4 linked regions of the Oryza sativa Japonica Group genome follow. The main gene of each other region encodes a partner of the protein of the gene in region 3 in a complex. Links are inferred from orthologs where the notes say so. Each region holds a gene or a part of one and is shown on either strand. Other genes may lie near its edges.

Evidence for each region.
Region 1: general transcription and DNA repair factor IIH helicase subunit XPD (region 3) and general transcription factor IIH subunit 2 share a complex: the UniProt entries of both Arabidopsis thaliana proteins name them as parts of the 7-subunit TFIIH core complex. The link is inferred for Oryza sativa Japonica Group from reciprocal best matches to the Arabidopsis thaliana genes UVH6 and GTF2H2.
Region 2: general transcription and DNA repair factor IIH helicase subunit XPD (region 3) and general transcription and DNA repair factor IIH subunit TFB4 share a complex: the UniProt entries of both Arabidopsis thaliana proteins name them as parts of the 7-subunit TFIIH core complex. The link is inferred for Oryza sativa Japonica Group from reciprocal best matches to the Arabidopsis thaliana genes UVH6 and AT1G18340.
Region 4: general transcription and DNA repair factor IIH helicase subunit XPD (region 3) and general transcription and DNA repair factor IIH subunit TFB2 share a complex: the UniProt entries of both Arabidopsis thaliana proteins name them as parts of the 7-subunit TFIIH core complex. The link is inferred for Oryza sativa Japonica Group from reciprocal best matches to the Arabidopsis thaliana genes UVH6 and AT4G17020.

The regions. Positions count from the first base shown.
Region 1 is NC_089038.1:25,935,781-25,941,891, forward strand, and holds general transcription factor IIH subunit 2, read right to left. Parts: upstream 3,913-6,111; 5' UTR 3,822-3,912; coding exon 3,492-3,821; intron 2,069-3,491; coding exon 1,607-2,068; intron 1,527-1,606; coding exon 1,148-1,526; intron 719-1,147; coding exon 591-718; 3' UTR 225-590; downstream 1-224. UniProt on the Arabidopsis thaliana protein: Component of the general transcription and DNA repair factor IIH (TFIIH) core complex, which is involved in general and transcription-coupled nucleotide excision repair (NER) of damaged DNA and, when complexed to CAK, in RNA transcription by RNA polymerase II.
Region 2 is NC_089036.1:1,354,247-1,360,626, forward strand, and holds the start of general transcription and DNA repair factor IIH subunit TFB4, read right to left. Parts: upstream 4,124-6,380; 5' UTR 3,970-4,123; coding exon 3,945-3,969; intron 3,849-3,944; coding exon 3,760-3,848; intron 3,477-3,759; coding exon 3,206-3,476; intron 3,124-3,205; coding exon 3,077-3,123; intron 2,807-3,076; coding exon 2,769-2,806; intron 2,693-2,768; coding exon 2,647-2,692; intron 2,412-2,646; coding exon 2,358-2,411; intron 2,236-2,357; coding exon 2,167-2,235; intron 1,306-2,166; coding exon 1,229-1,305; intron 918-1,228; coding exon 822-917; intron 708-821; coding exon 650-707; 3' UTR 593-649; intron 339-592; exon of another isoform or gene 243-338; 3' UTR 1-242. UniProt on the Arabidopsis thaliana protein: Component of the general transcription and DNA repair factor IIH (TFIIH) core complex, which is involved in general and transcription-coupled nucleotide excision repair (NER) of damaged DNA and, when complexed to CAK, in RNA transcription by RNA polymerase II.
Region 3 is NC_089039.1:2,600,235-2,606,637, forward strand, and holds the start of general transcription and DNA repair factor IIH helicase subunit XPD, read right to left. Parts: upstream 4,318-6,403; 5' UTR 4,177-4,317; coding exon 3,353-4,176; intron 3,196-3,352; coding exon 3,113-3,195; intron 3,006-3,112; coding exon 2,602-3,005; intron 2,500-2,601; coding exon 2,306-2,499; intron 2,063-2,305; coding exon 1,882-2,062; intron 1,498-1,881; coding exon 1,373-1,497; intron 742-1,372; coding exon 652-741; intron 468-651; coding exon 389-467; intron 278-388; coding exon 201-277; intron 1-200. UniProt on the Arabidopsis thaliana protein: ATP-dependent 5'-3' DNA helicase, component of the general transcription and DNA repair factor IIH (TFIIH) core complex, which is involved in general and transcription-coupled nucleotide excision repair (NER) of damaged DNA and, when complexed to CDK-activating kinase (CAK), involved in transcription by RNA polymerase II.
Region 4 is NC_089038.1:35,246,906-35,251,985, forward strand, and holds the end of general transcription and DNA repair factor IIH subunit TFB2, read left to right. Parts: intron 1-20; coding exon 21-114; intron 115-265; coding exon 266-366; intron 367-856; coding exon 857-902; intron 903-987; coding exon 988-1,047; intron 1,048-1,144; coding exon 1,145-1,213; intron 1,214-1,685; coding exon 1,686-1,769; intron 1,770-1,840; coding exon 1,841-1,924; intron 1,925-2,073; coding exon 2,074-2,159; intron 2,160-2,754; coding exon 2,755-2,845; intron 2,846-2,924; coding exon 2,925-3,005; intron 3,006-3,086; coding exon 3,087-3,161; intron 3,162-3,287; coding exon 3,288-3,422; 3' UTR 3,423-3,590; downstream 3,591-5,080. UniProt on the Arabidopsis thaliana protein: Component of the general transcription and DNA repair factor IIH (TFIIH) core complex, which is involved in general and transcription-coupled nucleotide excision repair (NER) of damaged DNA and, when complexed to CAK, in RNA transcription by RNA polymerase II.

The sequences.
Region 1 (6,111 bases), on a different chromosome or scaffold from region 3:
CAGCAACATCGTGCTCTCTCCAGCGTTTTGCCGTTTCGTTCTGCGTCTCCGCCTGCTTTGAAATTGTGCAGTTAATTGCACGAGGCAACTGCTTACCTTGACGATTCTACAGTCAGCAACCAGCAACGGAAAACGCCGGGTGCGTGCGTGCGTCGAGCCGTCGATATCCAGCATATTGGCATATCAGGAGAGGAAGGGGGAAAAAAAAAGAAAGGAACAGCCTCTGCTCGTAAATGGCATGTCAGGGCATGACTATGACACTGAAAGAATACATCTTTGCCTCAGAAAAACGGCAAGAGTTACAAGTTTTCACTTTTCAGTCGCATTGTACATTTCTAACACCTCCCCTCAGCAACAATGCTATGGCTTCAACAACTCTTTGACCAGTACTCTGTATCAAAATAGCTTAACTAGCTACTCCATCTAAATGAACAGGAAGCGTCAACAAAATGGAGGCCGGGCACTATATCATCTGTACACTGTTTGATTACCTCACAACATCGCCTACCAATGTCAGTGTACGAGAAAGCTTACAGCAACGGGTAGCTTCTTGAGTTAAAAAGACAAAGATTAACACCACAATGGCATCCCTATGAAGAACTACGCTGACTCTCGCAACCTGGGCAATTGTGCAAGCTCTCATGGATGTAAATATCGCAATCAAGGCAGAAGTGTTGGTTGCATTTTGGACAGCGAACATGGAGGCTAGATTGACTATCTGCAAGGATATTGGATAAATAATTAATAAACCTGATAATTGCAAAGTACTCCCTCCGTCTCAAAAAATAACGAACCTAGGACTGTATATAACACATTCTAGTACAACGAATATAAACAGAGGTATGTCCAGATTCATAGTACTAGGATATGCCACATCTAGTACTATGTTGGTTTTTTATGGGACAGAGGGAGTATAATCTAGCACAAAAACCAGTGAAAAACATTAAATGTAAGAGAAGTATGAGGATTGGTAATTGAAGAACATGATGCCATGTAATAACAAACAAATGTAAGCTTTGTATTATGTATTTTCTCTTCTTTTTTCTACCAACTGCAACATATGTAGCACAATAAGGATATCTTTCCTTGTATGAAAATGCATTGAAAAGGTAGCATGTACTGTTAGACGTGTTAAAGAACTGCATACCAGGGTTAATAAAGCTTTGCTGGCAGCCGTAACACTTTTGTCCTCCCTTTTGACCTAGTCTATTTGGGTGCACGGAGGACACCTCATCAAATGGTTGTACAGGGAAGAGATGATGATAGGACCTTGCCAGATGTGGAGAGCTAACTAGTGTCAGCCCGCAAGTTCGACATTCTGTTGGAAGCTCACATACATTGACTTTGCATCTAGGACATATGTAACCTTCAGCCCCCGACTTTATTTTCTTGTGACAAGAGCAGATGGAGATAAGATCCTCTGCTCCTCTCTGCGGAAAACCCATCTTAATCAAATTAGCTGCAGCATACTCAGCAATTGCAGGTGGTGGAGGAGCATGTTCCAGAAGCAATTCCTTGAAATGGGACTGCCAAAATAAAACAGGCATTATTTATCTTCACAATAACTGAATAAGGAAAGGTAAACACACAAAGCATATTTTAAGACCTCATCCAGTGCAACTGTGTAGGATCCGCCAGTCTCTTCACACAGATATTTGCAGATAAAAATCTCTGCAGCAAGCCCAATAACCGAACATCGTATTTTGGATTTCTTGCATTTTGCTATTGTCTCCATGATATCTCCAGGATCACAGGTATTCAGGGCCGAGTACAAAAATAATACTTCCTTGTGACCATATGAAGGAACCTGGTCTAAATAACCATGGACAAGCTCTAGAGCATTCTGCAGAGATGGTTCACCAGAACACTCAAGCTTCCCCATCAATGCTTTAATCTGTGATTCAGGACTACCTCCAATCTCTGTAAGTCGATGGGAAATCCCATCTTTCATTGTCACTATCCCCACATGACTCAAGGGATTCTGGTCAAAAAATTCCCTTATGAATACCTCAGCATATTTTGCAACAACAGCCATTCGACTAGGTCGATAATCCATCTCTGAAGCTGCCTACATGATCAAAGATACAACCAGGATAAATGGAGATTACAACCGAATGCAAAGAAGTAAAAGAAGTCGTGGGCAGCATATCAATTTGCAGTAAAAATATCTTCATCACCAGAACAATCATGAGCAGCCTACTTTGTGAGAAGAAAATGTACATATGCTAAAATAAATGGTATAGGCCCTCTCCAAGATTTCTTGGAGCTAGGTATTTCTAGCTCCATAAATCCATGGATCTAGATCTACGATTACGTTAATAACATTTAAATAAATTATTTCGTGCACATTTCAAATGAAATTTAGAATTTTAAACCATTATAATTTAATTTATAAACTTCAAATCTACCATGGATCTAAGATCTGGAGCTGTGCCAAAGAGGATCTTATTTACTACCTATCACCCAAAGGAAGAAAGGGCTTTTTCCACATGAATGCATACACAAAATATACGTAGTGTTCTCAAATCAACAGAAAACACTTTCCAACAATGTCAAATGGTATGGAGCAGTAATGCAGTACGGTGCCCCTTTCCTTTGACATAAAACAAATGACGATCAACCAAAACGCTTTACCGCTTCAGAATCTTGATAATGAAAAACCTCACGCTCCTCCGATTCCTATGAAGTTTTCAGATAGGACAGAACCAAGAGAAAATTGCTATTAGCATGAGCCTAACAGGGATGGGGTATGAAATATGTCTTTTCCTTTTTAGCTTGCTCATAAGAGTCATAGTGCAGTAATTTATAGAAAGAATTTTATTTACCACAGATCTCAGGAGACCCTTTGGCACAAGAATTTTTTTCCTTTACAAAACAAACTATTATAATTGTAGAAGAACCATTTTTAATACAAACCATATACAATTTCATTTTAGTTTGTGAACTTCATTGCGTTCAATGGTTGGCGAAAACCCCCCATTCAATCTCTGGTTATGGCCCTGGTCAATGGCAAACAAAAATGGCTAGATTCCAGTATTGCCCTGATATGCACCGATTATAACACCCACTCTCAGGGACTAAAAGCAGAACACCTAAGCAAGAAGACAAGCTAGCAAATCATACATGAGTGATGAGATCATCAACTCAAACATCAAACCTTGATGTGGAAGTGGAGAGGATTGCGCAGCTAGTCACTGAAATAGCTAGCATATGAAATCAAGCTAAAAGCACTACATAGTGATCACCGATTCAACAATACTGCCTCCAGTCCACATTTCACACGAACCAAATTGAGGCCATGGGCAATACCACCAGATCAGCCTCGGCACGAGGTGTTGCATTTAACAAACACTGAGAGGTTAGCACGATCAGCATTGCCCGCCATCCCCAGTGATCCTAACCCGAGCTCACGGAAAACTCCGCACTCACCAAGTGCTCGACGGAGTGACTGACCCGAGGACAAGCTTAGGAGAAGGCACGGGGGAACGAACCCGGGAGAGATCGATGACGATGTAGAGGTAGCGGATGAGGCCCTTCTGGATGCGGGCGGCGGCGGAGGCGGCAGAGCGGAGGAGAAGGCGGCGGCGGTACTGCGCGTGGACGAGGGTCTTGGTGTCGATCGGGCGGAGGAGGCCCGACTCGTCCTCCTGCAGCGCCTCCCATGACCGGTCGTCCGCGTACGCGCGCTCCCAGGCCTCGAGGACGCGCCCCTCGCCGGACTCCTCCTCCTCCTCGTCGTCGTCGTCCTCGTGGTTGCGCCGCCGGGCCGATGCCGTGTAGGGCGCGTTGAAGCCGCCGCCGCCGCCGCCGACGCCGTACATGGTGGAGGCGGCGGCGAGGCGGAGTGGGAGCAGAGGAGGAAGGAGAGGCGAGGTCGGGGACCGGGGAGATGGGCCAGGTTTTGGGGTTCCTGGGCTTTTGAGTGGGTTTTCCTTAACTTTTCTAGCTTTCCCATGCTTGACGGTTGAGGCCTTACTTGCTTGCACTTGAAAAAAAAACTGAAAACCCATCTAAAATTTTATGAATATTTTTTGGGGGTTATCGTCAAATCTTGCAGATTTAGGGTCAAAAGATGTGCTTCGTGATTAAGATAAAAAAAGATGTGCTTTGTGATTTGTGCTCTATATTCTTCTCCTCTTGCTTTAGCAACCTCCTTTTCTTTGTCGACATTGGCGCCACCCTGAACTAGAATCGACGGATTAGGGTCCATATTAGATTTAGGGTAGGGATTGGGGAAGAGGGAGGAGATCGTCGGTCTTAGAGGCATGATCATGGGAAGTGGTGGACCAAGGGGGGTGGTGGACAATGGATGCTAGTGAGGCGTCAACGGCGATGTCAGCGCCCATTGGGATAAAGGAGCGCGGTAGGGGCAAAGCAAGCTTGTGTTAAGAAGCGGTAGTCGGTGGTGGTGGTTATGAGCAGCCGAAGATGGGGAAAATGTCGGATCATGGGCATCTGCTGGCTTGAGAAGGAATAGAGGGGGGAGGGCTCCGTCAATATTAATGACACTTCCATCCAAGTGATAGCACAAGAGGCGTCAAGGTCGAGCATGTCGTGCATCGGTGAGGAGGGAAGAAGAAAAGGAAGAGGGTTAACGTGGGGGGATTTGAACGAATCTCAAAGTAATCCAACGAGGGGTTTATGTCAAATGTAAGGCTTATTTCCTTTGTCGAGTTAAGTTGACATATGCACACACTAACTTTATGCATCTAAGTCCTAACATACACTCAAATTCGAACAGTAGCCTCGTTTAACATGGGTATAAACTTATCCACCAAATATTATGTGCATTCAGTGCCTCCGGAGATTAAGTCTCCGAGAAAGTGCAAGCACCAGCATACTACCTCATCAGATTAAATCCTAGAAAAAAAATGCAAAAGCACCTATACTAAGACTACAACTTGAACTTCGATGGATATGTTCTACCGCAAGGGGAGCTCAGTTGGCAAATTTGATGAATAATTTTGATAAACTGAAATACAGGTTGTAGTACTTTGCATAATAATAAAATCACTAGACATCTGCACATGTGCATGTTTGAACTTTCAGACACTTCATAAAAATAAATATAGTTTTATGTTGACAGTTGGAATTGCAGCATTGGCAATGTGGCACCTGACCACCTCGATTTTTTTAATAACGAAGTTCATGCGATCTGTAAGTATTTATACTATAAATTCATCTCTATAGTTTATATCATCGACATGGTTGACTGGTCGACATCGCATCTAATGCGCGAATGTATCCATGTCTCATGTGCCACGCTTTTGTTATACAGGTGTCGCTGATAATATCTTCGACAGACTTTGCAGTACTAGGTTCCAATGCTGCAGTTCCACGGTTGTTGTTCTGTGCTTCTGTTGTAATGCCACTGATGACAGCTAAGCTAGGACTAATCCTAATTCCAATCAAAACCTTAAGATGTTCCTAGTTTCCTACAGATCAGCTAACTTCAGAAGGATGAAAGTACAGTCTGATATTTTCCATGCCTCTTGAAATGTGCACTTCATCTTCATGCATGTTCATCAATCTGTTATCTGTGAATAAACTTGATGCATTCTTCATCGCATTGTGATCCTTGACTTATGTTTAGAAGATTTTCATCTCTAGACTTCGGGGTCTTTCTGAAGATCAGGTAAGGCCGAGTTTAGTTCTAAACTTTTTTTTAAACTTTTAACTTTTTTATCACATTAAAACTTTTCTATACACATAAACTTTTAACTTTTCAGTCACATCATTTCAATTTTAACCAAACTTTTAATTTTGACGTGAACTAAACACACCCTGACTTCAGTAGGATGAAAGTAGTCTGATATTTTCCCTGCCTCTTGAAATGTGCACTTCATCTTCATGCATGTTCCTCTGTTATCTGTGAATAAACTTGATGCATTTTCCATCACAAGTATCATTTAGGCCTTGTTTAGATCTAAAAAATTTTAGCCAAAAACATCATATCAAATGTTTGGACACATGCATAGGACATTAAATGTGGAAAAAAAATCAATTGTACAGTTTGTATGTAAATTGCGAGACGAATCTTTTAAGCCTAATTACGCCATGATTTGACAATGTGATGCTATAACAAACATTTGCTAATGACAGATTAATTAG
Region 2 (6,380 bases), on a different chromosome or scaffold from region 3:
AAATGATTTGCCATCTACTAGCTTGACCTGTTGTCCTGTTTTCGGTAAGCAAAAAAGAGCATTTGCAAATGGTGCATCACAAGTTCATGTGCCAACTTTACAAATTGCAGGCAAACTAATTCCAAAAGTCGGGCGTGAGTTCCCTCATCAGTTGACAAAATTGCTACGCCCAGTTGCCTAGTTTTTGCTAAACTGACGCTGCTTCAAGTATGCACACAATGCCCATTCTGTATCAGTTGAACCTGTCAAAATCAGGGACAGGCTGATCCAGCATCATGTATCGTATCTAAGAAATAAATGTGCATGTCATTGAGGCTAAAATGCTAGGATAGATGTTCCTGGAAAATGAACCACATTTCAGAATGGAACAAAGCACGGGCATGAACCTACGCACATAAGAACACAAGGTAGGTAAAATTTGAAACTAGACTAGATATGGCGTGCACTGTATGTGCATGTCATCATCATTAACGCATAATGCATGTCTGGGGGTCAGCTAATGCAGATGAAGTAGTCTATATTTTACAAATGAGATCTTTTAACTATAGAAGATAGTGGCACCGAAGTTTCTTAAGAGACACATCAGACGAACCTGTGGAGAACATAAAGAGAAGTCTGCAGTCTGATATTTCGCCATCTGTAGTGTAGACTACTGCCTTTGATCAGGTACAGAATTTAAGTCGGGCATGACACGGTTGAATTCTGACCTGTGAACGGAGCACATCAAATTAAACAAGCAAACAATCTGATTCTTACTGAAACAAATTAAAGCTCTCAGGAAAAAGACAAAAGAATAGAAACACAAAGCAACTATAACATACCCACAGGTCGAACACTTCTTATGATACTTGCAGAATATCGATAAACAAACTGAACAAACATATCCCATGTCAATAGTCTTCTTATGGCAGAAACATCTGAAAAGAAATATAGCAAATTAGATGCAGTTGAAAGGCCACCAGTATCAGACAAACTGAATGGAAACTTAAAAACAAAAATAAACTGAGCTGCTAATCCTGACCTAAGGCCTTTGGTAAGATAGAACTTCACAAAAAAAATTAGCTGTATGTTTCTCACATTTTTCTGAAATTGTCATTGGTATTATGCTATGTTTTCAGATCTATAACAAGCATCTCATAGCTATGTCACAAGGCATTCAAGAAGATGAAGAAACAGAGATATGCCTAATGCCTAGAGAACTTAATAGAGGAAACTGAGTGACACATACGAAGCACGGAAATCCACTCCCAGAGTCTTGGGGAGGCGCAGAAAGGTTCTTGAGTGTAAATCAGTTGCAAATACAGCCTGCATATTTGCAGAAATGAGTCATTGAGCTCAAGCAAATTAATCAAGTTATCTGAAATAGAAATATTCCTACTCAGATAGAATAAAGACAAACACAAAACAGAGCAACTTTGGAACTAATATATATATTCCAAAAACAGGTCAACGTAAGCTGATATTGAAGCAATAGATTTGGGTCAGAAGTAAACAGCACAGTCTATCACGCCATAATCTGATGATTCCATTGTTGTTCATTAGTGTATTGTACATATATATGTGAATCTGATTCTAGATTAACAGGTAGATATACTACCAGTACCAGGAAGATGGAGTATCTATGTGCCCCACTCTAGTGACAGAAAATATTGAGTTTTGACATAGGAGATGAACTCATGAACATAGACACTGAGAGGGCATTCAACTTTGTAGTCTACTAGTAGCATCCAAAATCATTTGGCACTAAAGTTTAGAGATGTAGTTGTGTTGATCTTCCCAGATTGACAGTTTGAGACATACAGGAAATATTATGCTTGAGTGCACACTTTAAACAAGCCACACTCACTAGAGATGCATGAGTTCCCAAACATTACTAGTACATTCTACATTCAAGCAAAGGCAGGAAAACAGAAGAGCCTAGACAACCTTAGATGAAAGTTGATATTATTTTTTTTCACAAAATGAAAATGGGCTGATCTGGCATTTTTCTTTTAAAGAGTTACATCAGATTCATGTGCTGGAGGTTAGTTGCCTTCTTAATTTTTCATTATTACACAGAAAAGATGGCCACAGGCTTTATATAAATGCATCATGCAGTTATAAAGATGTAACCATGGTTGCATGAGAAAATATGTGTGTTGCTACAGAAGTGCCAGAATGACTTACAGCAAGGTATTGAAATAGACCATTTAGTTCTTGGGGTTTCAAATAAACTCCACCTGTTATATATGAAGCCTGCAAATGAAAGGCCAGTATATGATCAGCATTCAGCAAGGAATAGACAGCTCTATGGGGGCATACATGTAAAAGAAGTTATAAATGGAAAGAAAGACCAAGAAGGCACTGAAGAACATTACCTGTTGCAAGAAAGCAGAGTCTTGGGTTCCTACTATGCATGAATCGATTGGGACCTAAATTTTTTTGATAGAAAAAAAAAATAAGGACCAAAGTTGTTAGTGAATGTTTTAAGCAATGAAACTGGTGATGTATATAGTCATATAGACATGTCTAGAGGTAGTGCTACTTGCAGTTGGGACTCACTAAAACCACTACAGTTGTGAAATGGTGAGGTGACATCAAGAGTATCAATAAAATGAATTGAACAATGAACCCAAATGTACGGAATAGTGACAGTTCATGCAATACCATGGAACGTTGAGCAGAAAATATTGAGTTCATGACCGCTACATATCTGCGCAGCATCTCATTGAGTTAAAACATGTTCCAGAAAATATATACTACACAATCAAATCGATGAATGTGCGTACTGTTCAGGTCCATCTGGAGAACCCTGCAGGCATAAAATCTGTATTTCGTGTTAGCATAATACATGATGCCACTAGAATAAGTTGTGAGGATATTGAGTAGAAAAATTCAAGAAAACAAAGAAAATTAAATAATTATATCATTAGTGATGGGTCAGATGCCTATCAGGTTTTTTTAGTCCATACAGCATGCGCATTGTAAACATTTATGCTAACTGATATGCTCCCTTCTATGTTGTTCTCATAGGTCAACATATCAACAGGAATCAGAACAAAAGGTAACTTAGAACACACACAGAGTGTATACTCACCCGAGGTTGTGGATGTCGAGTACCAGACCGAAAAACCCTCTGTATATCTAAGCATCCTCCATGTTAAGAAATACAAGCACAAATGGAAAATGCACTAACAATAAGAAATCAGTACCAGTCATAGGATACAGCACAGAGCAAGGGACAGTGCGCCTGAGAGAAGAGAGGCTGCATTGCCATCAGCAACGGAACCATTGCTGCTAGTGGCACGGGCGTCTTCTGCAATGAACTCATCCATCTTGCGGCTCGCCTTTGCGAAGGTGGCCGCGACGTCTGCAGCACCAGAGGCACTAGCATCGCTCGAGTCGAAGATGTAGGTGCAAGAGCTAAGCCCCGCGGCGATGACGACCACATGGTTGAGGTGGTTCAGAAGCAAGAGCGAGTTCACGTAGTGGATCAGCTACATACACCCCGGAATTGCATCAGTATTAAGTGTAAATCCTCTCCTCTCTGGAGAATTCAGAGTCAAAATCAAACTAACTAGATCAGCGAGCAACTAGAGATTGATCCTCTCTGGAGGAGTCAGAATAAAATCAAACTAGCTAGATCAGCGTGAATGCAACTAGATACTGATCGTGTTTCCGTGGTTAATCCCCATGATATAGATGTGAATCAAAAACTAGAAATCGAGAGGGGAAGCGGGGGACGAGAAGGGAAATAGGGTTTGGGAGGTCGCGGCGTACATGGGCGAAGAAGTCGGCGAAGGGGAGGGCGGCGGTGGCCCAGAACAAGGGGTTGGTGTCGACGACGACGACGGCGAGGCTGACGTCATCTGCGCAGGCGCGGTGGAGACGAGGCAAGAGAAAAGGGGGGAAGATTAGCGAGACGCAAAGGGATCAGAAAACGGAGACGGTCGGGCGCCGCTTACCGGAGTAGAGCTTGGAGGAGGCCATGGCAGTCTCACCGCCGTCGCGGCAGGGCCGGACACGCGCGAACGGAGGCGCTGGTTGGGCCGAGGCGGCGGCGGCGCGAGCGGTTGCCTTGCCGCCGTCGGGAGGCGGAGGCGGAGGCGGCGAACTCGGCGGAGTTGCGGCTGCGCTTGGGGGCGGCAAGAGACGACGAATTTTTTTTATTTATAATTTTTTTATTAAAAGTTTTACAAAAATAATTTTCCATTTTGAAAATTGACGGAAGTAGTCGCCTACCGCCCTCTCAGAGGGCGGCGAAAATGACGTGGCAGACGGCCGTTCGCTCTCGGGCGACGGCCGTCAACGAAATTTGCAGGCGGCCCCCTTGCCGCCCTCCGCTAGGGCGATTTTATACTGTGCGGGGGGCCGCCTGCAAATGGGCGGCGAGGGGGGGCATGGAATTTTGCAGGCGGCCCCCTTGCCGCCCTCCGCTAGGGCGATTTTGTACTGTGGGGGGGGGGCGCCTGCAAATGGGCGGCGAGGGGGCATGGAATTTTGCAGGCGGCCCCCTTGCCGCCCTGGGGGAGGGCGATTTTTGCCTCCCCCTATAAAGCCCAGTCCCTCCTCTGTGAAATTTCATTATATTCACTAAAAATCCAAAAAAAACGAAAGAGAGAGAGGGGAGGGCAGCAGAAGGGGAGCGGCGAAGCCCTGCTGGTTCGCTCAATTCATCACAGGTATGCTCCCATACATCTTTTGCATTTGTACTAATATGTTATGTTTGAGTATATATGTTGCGTTTTAGTTTTAGTTCCATATATTTTAGCACATCTGTAGCACATAGCACATATGTGTAGATCCAGAGCATAGAATATAATAGTATGAATTGAGACATAGACAGTAGTGTTAATTGTAAGATGTAGTTTAGTTTGATCTGGAGAATGTAACGTAATTTTAGAAATTTAGAGAACAATATTGTAGAGAATGTAACTTAGGGCGTAGTACAGAAATGCGAGGTTAACGCAGTTATTGTTTTCATCAGGCACAATGTCAAGTAAGGTCACATTTCAGATAGTTCATGGTAAAGGAAATATTAGATTTGGTCCAGATGGTGTTGATCTGTCAGATTTTGTAATGACATCTAAGGGCATCGATAGGCCTGCGGAGAGAACATTTCAGTCAATTTATAGTTGGTTGTTGAGAGGATTTAGAATAGACCAAGAAGTCTACACAATGTCAGTGTCAGTTGTAGTGAGTCGTGCAACAGAAGGTTATTTTTGGGAACTAATGCCGATGGACAGCACTGATGCTTGGAGACGGTATGTGGAAATGGCTTTTGAACGGTCATGGCCCCTCGTTATATTTGTGTCGGTACAAGAGAAAGATATAAATGTTTCAATGCAAACCGAAGATGTAGAGGGTCCTATCAATGCAGGGGATGTTGTTGGACCATCGATGCAAAATGAGGAAAATCAACCAAGGGAGGAGCAGGCTATGGGCATGGCGGATGAGGGGGAGAGAGTCGGTATAATTGTTGATGAAATGGAGAGGGAAGATTCGGATAATGAGGAAGCGGACGACGACGCATCATCCGATGAGGAAGGTGATGTAATGGCCACTGATTGGGCAAATGAGGACTTCTCTGGACTTGTTATATCAGAGGGTGATCATGTACCCTGGGAGTATAAGGAGAACGAGGTAATTGACGGTGCAAGGTATGCTCATAAGGATGAGATGAAGGAGGCGGTGAAGCATTGGGCAGTTTCCTTGCAGAGAGAGTTTAGGGTGGTCAAGTCAACAAATTATGTGTATGAAGTGAGGTGCATGAAGGAAGATTGTCCGTGGCGTGTCCATGCATATAAGGGTAAATGGAATGATTATTGGAAAGTTAGCATTGTGACCGAGCACAAGTGCTACTTACAAGGGGTGGAGAAGTATCACCGAAACATCACTTCAGCTTTTGTGGCAAGTGAGATGTACAGCAGTGTTGTTGGTAACATTGGCTTTGAACCAAAATCAATTATTAGGCACATCGAGAACAAATTCAAGTACACCATAAGCTATGCAAAGGCCTGGAGAGCCAAACAAAAGATCATTGAGATGAGGTATGGCACATTTGAAGCTTCTTATGATAATTTGCCTCGTTTGTTAGCCACCATTGCCCAGAGGAATAATAATACGTACTATGACCTACATACATTTACATCGGTTGATGATCGAACAAAGAGTATGCTGCAAAGAGCCTTTTTCTCATTGGGTGCTTGCATCAATGCTTTTGTGCATTGTCGACCTGTTCTATGCATAGATGGAACTTTTATGACAGGTAAATACCGAGGTCAGATATTGACAGCAATTGGGTGTGATGGGAACAACCAGGTTCTACCTATGGCTTTTGCATTTGTAGAGAGTGAGAACACTGAAAGCTGGTACTGGTTCCTAGAGAGAGTGCACATTGC
Region 3 (6,403 bases):
TCCAAGGCCACATGCTCAATACAAGAAACCGGGAGCCTATTTGTTCAGCATATGCAGGTCGAAAATCAGGTTGCTAATCTACGCAGCACAAGAATTGGAGCTTTCTTGTCAACCATAGGCAGCTAACTATAACGAGGCTTTCTTGATGATTGGCGAGGTTCTAATTTTCTGAGTTAAAAGTCAAGGCAGTGATCAAGTACCTCTTGTCAGCAAATATCATCATTCCATAATCTGCTTTAGAACGGATCACACGGCCAACACATTGCGCAGCTTGCCTCTGGCATTAACAGAATCCAAAATGTCAAGAAAACTTTGTTGGATGTCTCTAGAAAAATAAAGCTACAAATCATCCAGCCCTACTTTCCCCTGGCAGAAGTAGTATTATTACCAAAGCATCGAAGGTCAGGAAGTCACCCTCCTTTATTTGAAAAGTTTCTCTTAGGTACTCCAACCTAGCAAGTAATATCCTGCAAACAGTGTAGACACAAAAGAAGCTGTCATTATGCCAGTAAGTATCCATGGATGTTGCTATTGAGTAGATAATGTTTTATAATATGATGAACCATTCGTAGGCACAGAAGTAATGCTCAGGTATAGAGATCAAGGGTTGCACAAAAAAATGGATCTTAAGTTCAGACAATAAGTCCTCACCTGCTGAGTGTGTACTGGAAAGGAACACCAAACATGATCACAAGTCTGCCATAGTGTCGATCAAAATCAATACCTTCGGCTACTTTGCCCCTGGATTGAGCATAGTGGTAGTTAGCTATGAGTCATATGTCCATCATATTATGTAGCCATGAGTCAAGACCACTTAAACATTTATAATAATAACACTTGAACAGAAGTAGCCAATCTACAATATACTGTAATGATGGTAAATTAGCTCGTGGTGCCTACTGGGTTATGCTTATTGTAGCCTATTGATCAGCCAGATGATGAGCTAATGGCAGCAATTTATTTGAGCATTCAGGGACAAGATAATTTTTTTTGCAAGAAATAAACTTAAAAACTCAACGTATGAGTTCCTCATGTTTACACATCAATGAAATATTGGTGGATGCCTGATTGAAGCATTTTCTGAAATTACTTACTGAATTGCTGTACCAACTAGGACATTCATTTATTTTGGTTAACACATAATTACACCTATTTTTGACTAATACTGTCTTCGTTGTTTCGGATATACTAGGAATAAAGAAACCATTGGCCAACCAGTAATTATATATCACCTTTGACATAATTATCACCTACTTGGGTCGATGTTAAAATAGCTGTAATAGTCTCAAGCAATCCAATCAATTGCGAAGCTGAACACTGACACTAAATTTGAAGGGTGCTTTCCGACAAAACCAATATAAAGTGAACCAACCTGGCAACGGAAAAGAATATAGCACCTCTTCCACAATCACATGCCTTTCTGTAATTATCAAGAGCCAATGTTGTCTCAACAACATCTGGTGTTTCAATGAATACCAACTTATGCTGCATGATGTCCTGCAAATTGAAGTCATAAGATTTTCATATTAGGTGCTAATGCATTGCGTGTTATCAAGGCTTTGCCAAGAATGCTGTATTCATGAGAACAGTAAAAGCATTAATCATGTGAAATCAGCTCAGACAATGCACTTTTTAGCAGTACAATAAACTGCACATGTAATAAGAACATTAGAGGCTTAGACACCATATATAGTACTACAAGTGACTGTTCCAGAGCAGTACTACAAGTTTTTCCAACTGAAACAATGCATTTGTGCAATTGTTAGACTTTATATGGTGACATAACGAGATTCAATGTCATAATCCATGAAGAGTTTTGCACTAGATTTATATTCTATAGACTGCTCGATACCAGAATAATGTACTGGTAAAGAAACTAACCTGCAAAATACCCATCTCATTCCAGCTGTTGACAATGCCATCCATATAAGAGTAACTGACAAAAAAACAAACTATGCCATCTGGCACAGCAGAAGCCATCTCCAGCAAGAGCCGACCATAATTCCTTACAACGCCAGGATCGCTACGCATATCAAACTTTGTACTGACAGGTAGCTGGTCACTGAAAATGTGATGGAATATTTGAAGTTATACATCAAGATTTTGCAATATCACCAGTAAGACTAGAATTTTGAGAGCCAAAACCCAATACAAAAACTAAACTAAGTTCATGCGATGATGCTCTAAAGGATGAAGAAAGATTCAATAGATGCTATGCTAGTATTTAAAACATGCAATGGATAAATTAGTTGCTTGCTTTCAAAATAATATATGCCACATGAAATTTTGAAGGCCCGGTCCATACCTTCCTCTTGTCAAGACCATGGGACATATGCAATCCCTTGTTAAAGACATTGTGAAGCTCCTGCTTATAACAGGATTAAAGTTCAAAAGGCGAGGGTAGAGGTCTATTGGGCTGAGAGTACCAGAAGTTATGACTACTGTTTGAAAACGCTCAAAAACAGGCTGTATTGCAAGCGATGCATCATGGCAACTGAGCTGCAACACATAGAAATTGATTAGGATATCAATAATGCACTTTGACGACTTTTGATGACAGTTAAGATTAGAGATTATTGTCATATAGAGAAGAATGAGTACCTGAATCACAGGATCACGGATATCAGGCATTCTCTCATCATAGGGTTCTATTATTATAGAAAAGCCCCGTGTATAAGTTCCAATCAATGTGGCAAAGTCACAAATTGTCTGGATGTGCATGAACTCATCTGTATCGGTTATCTCCAAGGTAAGCATTAGAGAGTGTAGCCGATCATAACAAAACCTTAACATTTTCTGGTCAATTCCAGCCTGGGAATGGATTGAAGCAACAAAGGCAACAGGCATTTCATTCTCAACATTCTCTGTTTCCAGGCGTCCATCTAGGAACCTGACAAGCCTCCGCAAAACAGCAAGAAAATGCTCAGCCCTCCTGATGTTTCCTGGTACAGCCTCCTTCAGAATGTCCTCAGGCAAGGCCGGGTTCGCGAGCCAAGCATCCGATACTACATAACAAGAAATATTTTATCGTAAACTATTAACTGACCCAGAAAGACCAACCACAATGAGCAGTCTAAGACACAGAATTAGTGAAAGAAAAAATGGTACTCACTTGGCAGGTTTCCCCTCTGTGCCAATCCATCAACCAGCCTGTTGTATTCAGCACGAAGCCTATTGGCATCAGTGGCCTTGAACCTTCCTCCCAGATAAGGCAATTAGTGAGCAAGCAAGCTTCAACTATTTATCACAAAGTTGGATGCTCTTAAGGAAATCATAAAAGCAATCCTGGAAACAAAGAATTCATGTTTTTTTATGCATATTAGTAGCTGCAAGCTTCTTCAACACCAGGTACCTATCGATCTCTTGCGAGATGCGCCGCAAGTTTCGCTCGGCACCTTCGAGCGTCTGCTTGCGGATGCTGACACTGAGAGCCTCAATGCAGACATTATCGATGTTGTGCGCCTCGTCGAAGACGACGACGCACTCCTTCTGCATCTCCCTGGACACAATGCTGGCCACCTTGGGATCAATCAGGTACTGGTAGCTGTAGACCACGACATTGGCGTACTTGACCATCTGCCTCGCGAGGAAGTAGGGGCAGATCCCGCGGTCGCGGCCGAGGGCGCGGAGGTCGGCGAGGGTGTAGACGCCGGGGGGCATGTAGGAGGCGAGGTCACCGGCGGCGGCGGCGCGGTCGAAGGACTCGAAGAAGTCGCAGAGCGGGGTGGAGTCCGGGTCGGAGGCGGCCCTGTCGCGCACCCAGGACGCGGTGAGGCGGCGGCAGGCGGTGTCGACGGAGTCGCGGGCGGCGGCGGCGGAGGCCTGGGGGTGGACGCAGAGGTTCTTGCGGGAGGAGAGGCCGAGGGCGAGGAGGGAGCGGGAGGCGGCGGCGGGGAGGTGGGCGAAGAGGAGGCGGAGCTCGGCGAGGGTCTTCTCCATCTCGTGGACGGTGCGGGTGCAGTAGATGAGGCGGAGCGGGCGGGACGGGCTGGCGAGGGAGTAGGAGGTGATGAGGGAGATGAGCGCCGACGTCTTGCCGGTGCCCGTCGGCATCTCGAGCAGCGCGTGGCCGCGCGCGTCGAGGGCGCGCTTCAGCTCGCCCATGTACGCGTGCTGCTCCGGGTAGATCGCCGCGTACGGGAAGTGCACCGTCAGGCCCTCCAGGTCGAACTTCATCGCGGCGGCGAGGTCGGGGCCGGTGGGCCGCCGGAGTTTGGAGGAGAGGCGGAATCGCCGGCTGCACGCGCCGCCGCCGCCGCCGCCGTGGGGAGGGGAGGGTGTGCGCGTGAGGTGTTCGTTACAATGCCGTGCCCGTGCAAGAGCAACACGACTATGATGGGCTAAGTAGGCCGGAGATATGTCCGAGATGGGCTGGATTATGGGCCATCTTATGGCCCAATACTAGCAGTAAAAATTTATTCTGCTACAATATACTCCTCTGTTTTTTAATAGATAACATCATTTACATTTTAGCACATGTTTAATCATTTGTTTTATTAAAAAAATATGTAAATATGTAAGATATAAATCATGCTTGAAGTACTTTGATTGATAAAACAACTCACAACAAAATAAATTATAATTACGTAATTTTTATTAATAAAACGAATGATCAAACGTGCGATAAAAAGATCAACATCGTTATCTATTAAAAACGGACGCAGTATAAATCTTGCGTTAACAATGCCTAGTTAGTATTGTATGGTTTCAACGCATCAGATATGGTTTTGTTATATCATCTCTTTTTAATACATATGAATATCCTGACTTTATTCGGTGGAAGGGTAGCTTTGACCACTATTTTTCAAGAATATAATAATAATATTTAACAAACTTATAATATAGCAAAATTACTTATAAATAAAAGAAAAAATGTCTAATTTACTGCTCCAACTATATCAGTGGAGCACTTGACACCATAAACTACCGTTGGATCTAAACATGAACGTCTGATATAATTTGGCCACGTTATCGAGGTGATGTGGCTAAATCTCAGGCATCAACTTTTTATCCAACTATAGTTTACATGTTTCCACTACATATTTTTTTTTATTTCTAGTGGATTAAAACATATGCACTGCATATGTCTCTATATCTATCTGAGAGCTCCTTTGGAGCACATTAATTTTGAAGGATTTTTTTTAGTAATTTAGTTTAATTTCTCCAACAACCGTTTGAAATTTGTTTATTTCATCAACTTGATAAACAAATTATATGTTTTCTCAAAAGGAATATAAATTGTAGAGAAAAGATGCGTAACAGATTTTTCTTAAGGCTAGACTTCATGTTAGACTTTCTACATGTGTTTGATAGTGCAGTAGCAAGAGATGTGTGGTTCAACTCCAAGGTCACGTGTTCAATCCCGACACGATAATTTATTCTTAAAAAAATATTTAGAGGGACGTCTCTTCCTCCAAATCAATCTCTCTCTCTCTCTCTCTCTTTTTGTGTGTATCGGACTCTCTTGGGAATACCTAGGAGAGCATAGTCATATTTTATCACTTTACGGGAACACAAGTGTACATTTTTATATTCGTATTGGAAATAAAAGTTGAATATGAATATGGTTTGTCAAATTTTCCACAAGCGAAATCTGGAGAAGATCGTTCGCACGTTCCATAGGATGGAATGCAGGAGGGAAAACCTCCCAAATCTGCAGTTTTCTGCTTCTTCCTTGGTCAATATATATGTTTCTAGCTAGAACTTTCAGTTACTGAGTTCTTGGTTTTTTGTGCTAGGGGGAAGTTGCAACCTTAATTAGGTTCAGAGAATTTGGTTTCCACCGTGGAGTTTGTTCTTTGATTGTGTATGCAATGCTCTTGGACGCTCAATGAGAATTGTTCGTGATGCAGGAAGAATTGACCAAAGATCTCGTGAGGATAGAGAGATGCATTTTGAAGGAAAATTGGGTTCGTTTGCCATGTTCAAGTGTCGAACACCCTGGAATGATTCTGTGTCCCACTATTTCATTTCTTGATACGTTTTCCCTCAATTAGTGTTTCAGTTTTTTTTTCTTAAATCAAAGACTTTGATCAAGTCTACAGAAGAAAATAACACATCTAAGATACCAAATAAATACACTATCAACACATATTTCATGATGGATTTCAATAAAACTAATTTAATGTTGTGCTATGTATGCGTGTGTATTTTTTTTATATAGATTTGATCAAAGTTAGACATTTTCAACTTAGAACATGTGACATTCTGACTCAATTAGGAGTTGGTCTGTGTGGCTCATGAGAGTTATGTGTGTATATTTAGTACCACATTACTAATTTAGTAGGGTAAAAACAATTTATAAGGTCTTGTCCTTCCAACCATATTATTCCTGGGTTTAACCATTTTACACGAAGGGATGACGAAAATATAAGTTATGTGGTATTTGCAAGTATGCCCGTCC
Region 4 (5,080 bases), on a different chromosome or scaffold from region 3:
ACAGTTTTATTTTTCTGCAGTGGAAGTTTACCAAGGGAACCTATACCATCGAGTGTCACTGCAAGGTTGCCTACATTGGCAGAATTAGAGTCTTTTGCTCTTGAGCAGTGGGAGGTCAGGATGACAAAAGCTTATGTTTGCATGTATATTTTATTTTAGGGAAACACTTTCTATCTTTTTTTGCTCATCAGATCGTACTGTTTGAATGCTACCAATGTTCACTCCCCTAGTAAAGGAACTCATTCTTTTCTCTATGGGAAAATAGTGCTTCTTGCTGCAATTGATCAACTCATCTCAAGTCGAGAGAGGGACAAGTTTCAGCTCATCCATGATGAGAACTTTTCAGCGAGGTCTTCTGAGTTCAAGGTCCATCTTATTTCCTCCCTTGCTTTTGGCAGTGAGTTATGCATAAAATACGGACAATCAAATTTTGTAACAACAACAAAGAATATGCAGATTGCTGTAGCTCTTTCTTTTGTTAGTACAATTAGATGATAAATCCAATGGCTGTAGCTACATAGATATACACTAAGAAGAACTAGCAACTACTATACCCAAGATGGTGTGGGCTGACAGCAGATGGTCATTGGTTAATTGGTTTGGTTTATCTGTGTTCAGTTTACCTGTAAGTGAAATGGGGCTGATTGGTCTCTTAGTAATCCTAATAATCCATCTTTTAGCAGGTTGCTTTTTTTATTTGGATAGTTCAGATTTGCACCACATTTCTGGAATTTTAAAAGCTACTAGAGTTTTTTTGCCCTGCTATATATTCTCTAGCTTTATTGTATATGCTTTCCTCATTGCATATTCAAACAACAACTGAACGATAGAGTTCCTGATCTGATATATTCTGCAGAGATGGTGAAGCTCCAAGATTAACTGAGAACGGGTTCCAGTTTCTGGTGTGTCATTGGCTATCAGTTGATCCAATTATCTAACAGACTGCAGACTTCTATATTTGTTTCTCACTCTTTTCTATTTAACCAGCTGATGGAGACAAATGCTCAACTTTGGTACATCATGAGAGAATACATCTCATCAGCAGAGGTATCGGTTGCTTGCTCTTTCTAGAGCTTTTGATGTTACATTGTTGATTTATTTGTTGTATTTCCTTTGTGCTGATTGTTTTATTACTGTTGAATAGGAACGTGGTGTGGACCCCACGGAGTTGATATCATTTCTATTGGAACTTAGTTTTCATACATTAGGAGAGGTAAGTTAACCACTTTTAAAAGACTGTGGTGATGCTTCTTTTTTTTTCAAAAATCGTTTTAAAAAGTGACCAGCTCCAGTTTTTCTTTTACAGAAATTAAAATATAATTTCCCTCAATAATAGTAGGTTATATTGATATAAGAAATAAACACGGCCACATTTTACGCAGATTATAGTTTATGAGAGGATTGGGTAAATTGTAGTGGTATATGAAACGGAGCATCTCAAAGATTTTCTATTGGTTTCTGATCTATCTAACAGAATAGGGACATCAATCTAACATGCCTGCTTAATAATGCTTACTAGTTCAGACAGTACCAGAGATTTAGTGCTTAAAAAGAGGTTATCAGTCTGTAGATTAATGTTATTAACTAAGCATTATCTTTCATCTGTTGTGGAGTCCAAGCTTTGTGGCCTGGTTCATCTGTTGCAAATTCGCTTCAACATGCTGTTTAACTTATTCATGCTTCAGGCTTATAGCTTGAATACTCTGACCGATGTCCAAAGAAATGCTATTAGGGATCTGGCGGAGTTGGGACTGGTCAAACTTCAGCAGGTAAAACTTTGATTTAGTCTTTTCCCTAGTCAACTTGATGAATACAAATGTCAAGAGTTAAGCCATGGCAGGGTCGAAAGGACAGCTGGTTCATACCTACAAAACTGGCTACAAATCTCTCAGCAAGCTTGTCAGATTCATCGTCTAACAAAGAGGTTTCAGAACATTTTATATCCTTGCTATTACAGTTATTCATGACGTCCAAATCTTTCATAACCTCAATCTACTCGTCACCTAAGCAACAACAAATGAAGATGAAAATACTTTCTGTTAATAATTACATTGTATGATGTTGGTGCTGTAGGGTTTTGTAGTTGTGGAGACAAATTTCCGGATGTATGCGTACTCAACTTCCAGATTACATTGTGAAATTCTGCGCCTTTTTTCAAGGTACGTGTGGTGCTAGATGATTGGCATAACTTAGCTCAACTATGTACTGGTTTTTTAACTACTGAATTACTGATCCATAGCTTCTGTTGCATCCTTGAACGACTTTCCTCTATTTATTATTAACATTTTGCCATATGTTTGGCATGCAAAAGAGCGACGGCAGGGAGCTAAGGGCTCTATACCCTTCATCACATTTTCTTTAGTTAACCAGCGTAACTCTGCCAATTGTCATGCGAGTATATGCCATAATCTTGATTTTTGGCTATGCTCTAGTAGAATGGTGATTGGTCACTGCTGTTTCAGTGACTGATACCGTTTATCTTGGTTGAGTAGATGCCTTCATCTTGACTGAATTGACTCAGGAATGCCAACTGTTTCACTGGAATCCAGTACTAAATCAAGGTAGTAGGAAACACAATACAGTGAAGATGACTGTATTAATAACTGTGTTGTAAGTAATATTGCTTATTAATTTTACAGGACACTTGCTTAAGGTTTTATTAAAATGACAGTAATAGTGGCGACTGTAGATTTTACCTTATATTACTGTCATCCTCCATTCTTCATTGAATGTTCAATAAGGATATTTTTGCAGAGTGGAGTATCAACTTCCAAACCTAATTGTGGGATCTATTACAAAAGAAAGTCTTTATGGTGCTTTTGAGAATGGGATTACCGCTGAACAGGTATCACTTGGAGTATGAATTTCTGCATGATCCATTATATAGATACTCAGAGTCATTCTTGTTTTGTGTTGTTTTTCAGATAATTTCATTCCTTCAGCAGAATGCTCATCCTCGTGTTGCTGACAAGATACCTGCAGTCCCAGAGAACGTTACAGATCAGGTACAACTGAACAAGGCAATGTTTTCATCCATGGCCAACCGTATTTGCCAAAGTAATTGAATTGGTAATTCCTCCATGCAGATTAGGTTGTGGGAAACGGATCGTAACAGGGTTGATATGACCCTATCGCATTTATATGAAGATTTTCCAAGCAAGGTAAAGCCCAGCATATTTAACTTGGAAATAGTACTGGGACAATATTGAGTTGCTTATACCATGTTGGTGTGTGCTTTTCATATTAGTGTAAACGCTAACATATTTATTCTACTGTTGCTTGTGCAGGATATGTTTGATCAATGCTGTGATTATGCAAGAGATCATGGGTGCTTGCTGTGGGAGGATGCGAAGAAGATGAGATTAATTGTACGAGTGGAGTTCCATTCAGAAATGCGTGAGTTCCTCCGGAGGCTAAGATAAATCAACTATAGTTTGCATAATTTATTCAATCTATGTACTCCTATATTCCTGCACAGTAAGAACTTTATCAATGACTGTTGTGCACCAATTTGGCCCATTGTCACACATGAATATATCCACTGGCTGCATCATGTTAAGGAGTTGGAACTCGCTGAACTTTTGAGTTAACTGCTGTTACCCTGTTTATTATTACGGAGTGCTCCATCCGTCCAGTCCAAATTAGTTGTTTTAGGATAGATCACATTTTATTCTAGATATTTTTCTTTACTTATTCTAGATGATTACTCCGTGCAAGAGAGGAGCGATTAGAGGGAGAGACGAGCGATCAGAGAGGAGGGGGAGGGTGTGTGTCAGGTGTCAGGTTTTCACCTGTGTCAATCCGTGTGAGAGAGGAGACGGGTTATCATTAACTAGGAGGAATCATTTCTTGTTACAAGGTGTCAGAGAGAGAGAGAGAGAGAGAGAGAGAGCTAGAGAGAGATAACTAGGAGGAATCATTTCTTGTTACAAGAGGTGTCAGAGAGAGAGAGGAGACGGCTAAACCACGCAAGTAACCAGCTCGAGTATATAAACGCGGGTTACATAAGGAGTCTCACGCCTCTCACCCCACCCCACCCACTCCTCCGACGAGAGTAGACGAGCAGAGCAAAAGCCGGCCGCCGGGCATGGGGAAGAAGAAGAAGAACAAGAACAAGAAGAACAAGAAGTCGTCGGCTCCTCAGGCGCGCGGCCGCGGCAGCAACTCCGACCGCCGCTCCTTCACGCGCGGAATGCTGCAGTCCATCAACAACATGACGGTCATGCGCGCCACGCCTCGCGACCCCTTCGTCGTCGCTACTGTGACGGGTCGTTGCGACGGCGACCCCATCGACGTCGCCAACCCCGACATCGCCGCCGCCGCCGCCGCCGCGGCCGACCCCGTCGTCGCTCCTGCTGCTGCTGGTGGTCCTTGGGACGAGGAGGAGGAGGTGGAGCCGGCGCCGGCAACTACCGACCTACGTGCTGCTGCCACCACCGGAGGCGAGGCGACCGAGACCGAGACCGCCGCCGTCTGAGCTGAGGTATACTATCTGCATGCGGTCGGGTTGGCCTACGTTGAGAACTGGATTACCTTTCGTTGCATTTTAGTTTGGACTACGTAGCTTGCATGTTGTCTGTGATAGGATCAGTAGCGATCGCCGATCGATGGATATCTGTGTGTACGTATGGTTTTGCACTCGATCGTCGTATTTGAACAAAGATATATATGTGATATGCTGATCTGGGGATATATGTTACTCCTATGTGGTGATGCATTTCTTGGTGTGATGATCGATGCACGCGGGTTTAATAACCTAGCCTCTATTTTGCTTGGATTAGTACGTTTGATCATGCATGTTGATTTGAAGAGGTTTTTGCTTCCTCGCGTTCGTTATGACCATCTCTTGCAGACCACAAATTTAGCACAAGTAGCACGCACGGGCCTACTCTTACACTAACACTAACTAGCTAATTGACTGATATTCATATGCAGTTCTCCAAAAAAAAAAAAACTGCAATGTTGATTTTTTTTTGGCAGAAATTGGCTAGTCATTTTTTTGGGGGGTTTTGTACCAAAGTTGCATCTTGACATAGGGTGCGTTCGTTCCGGTGAGTTTAGGTGAGAAAGTACCTCTATT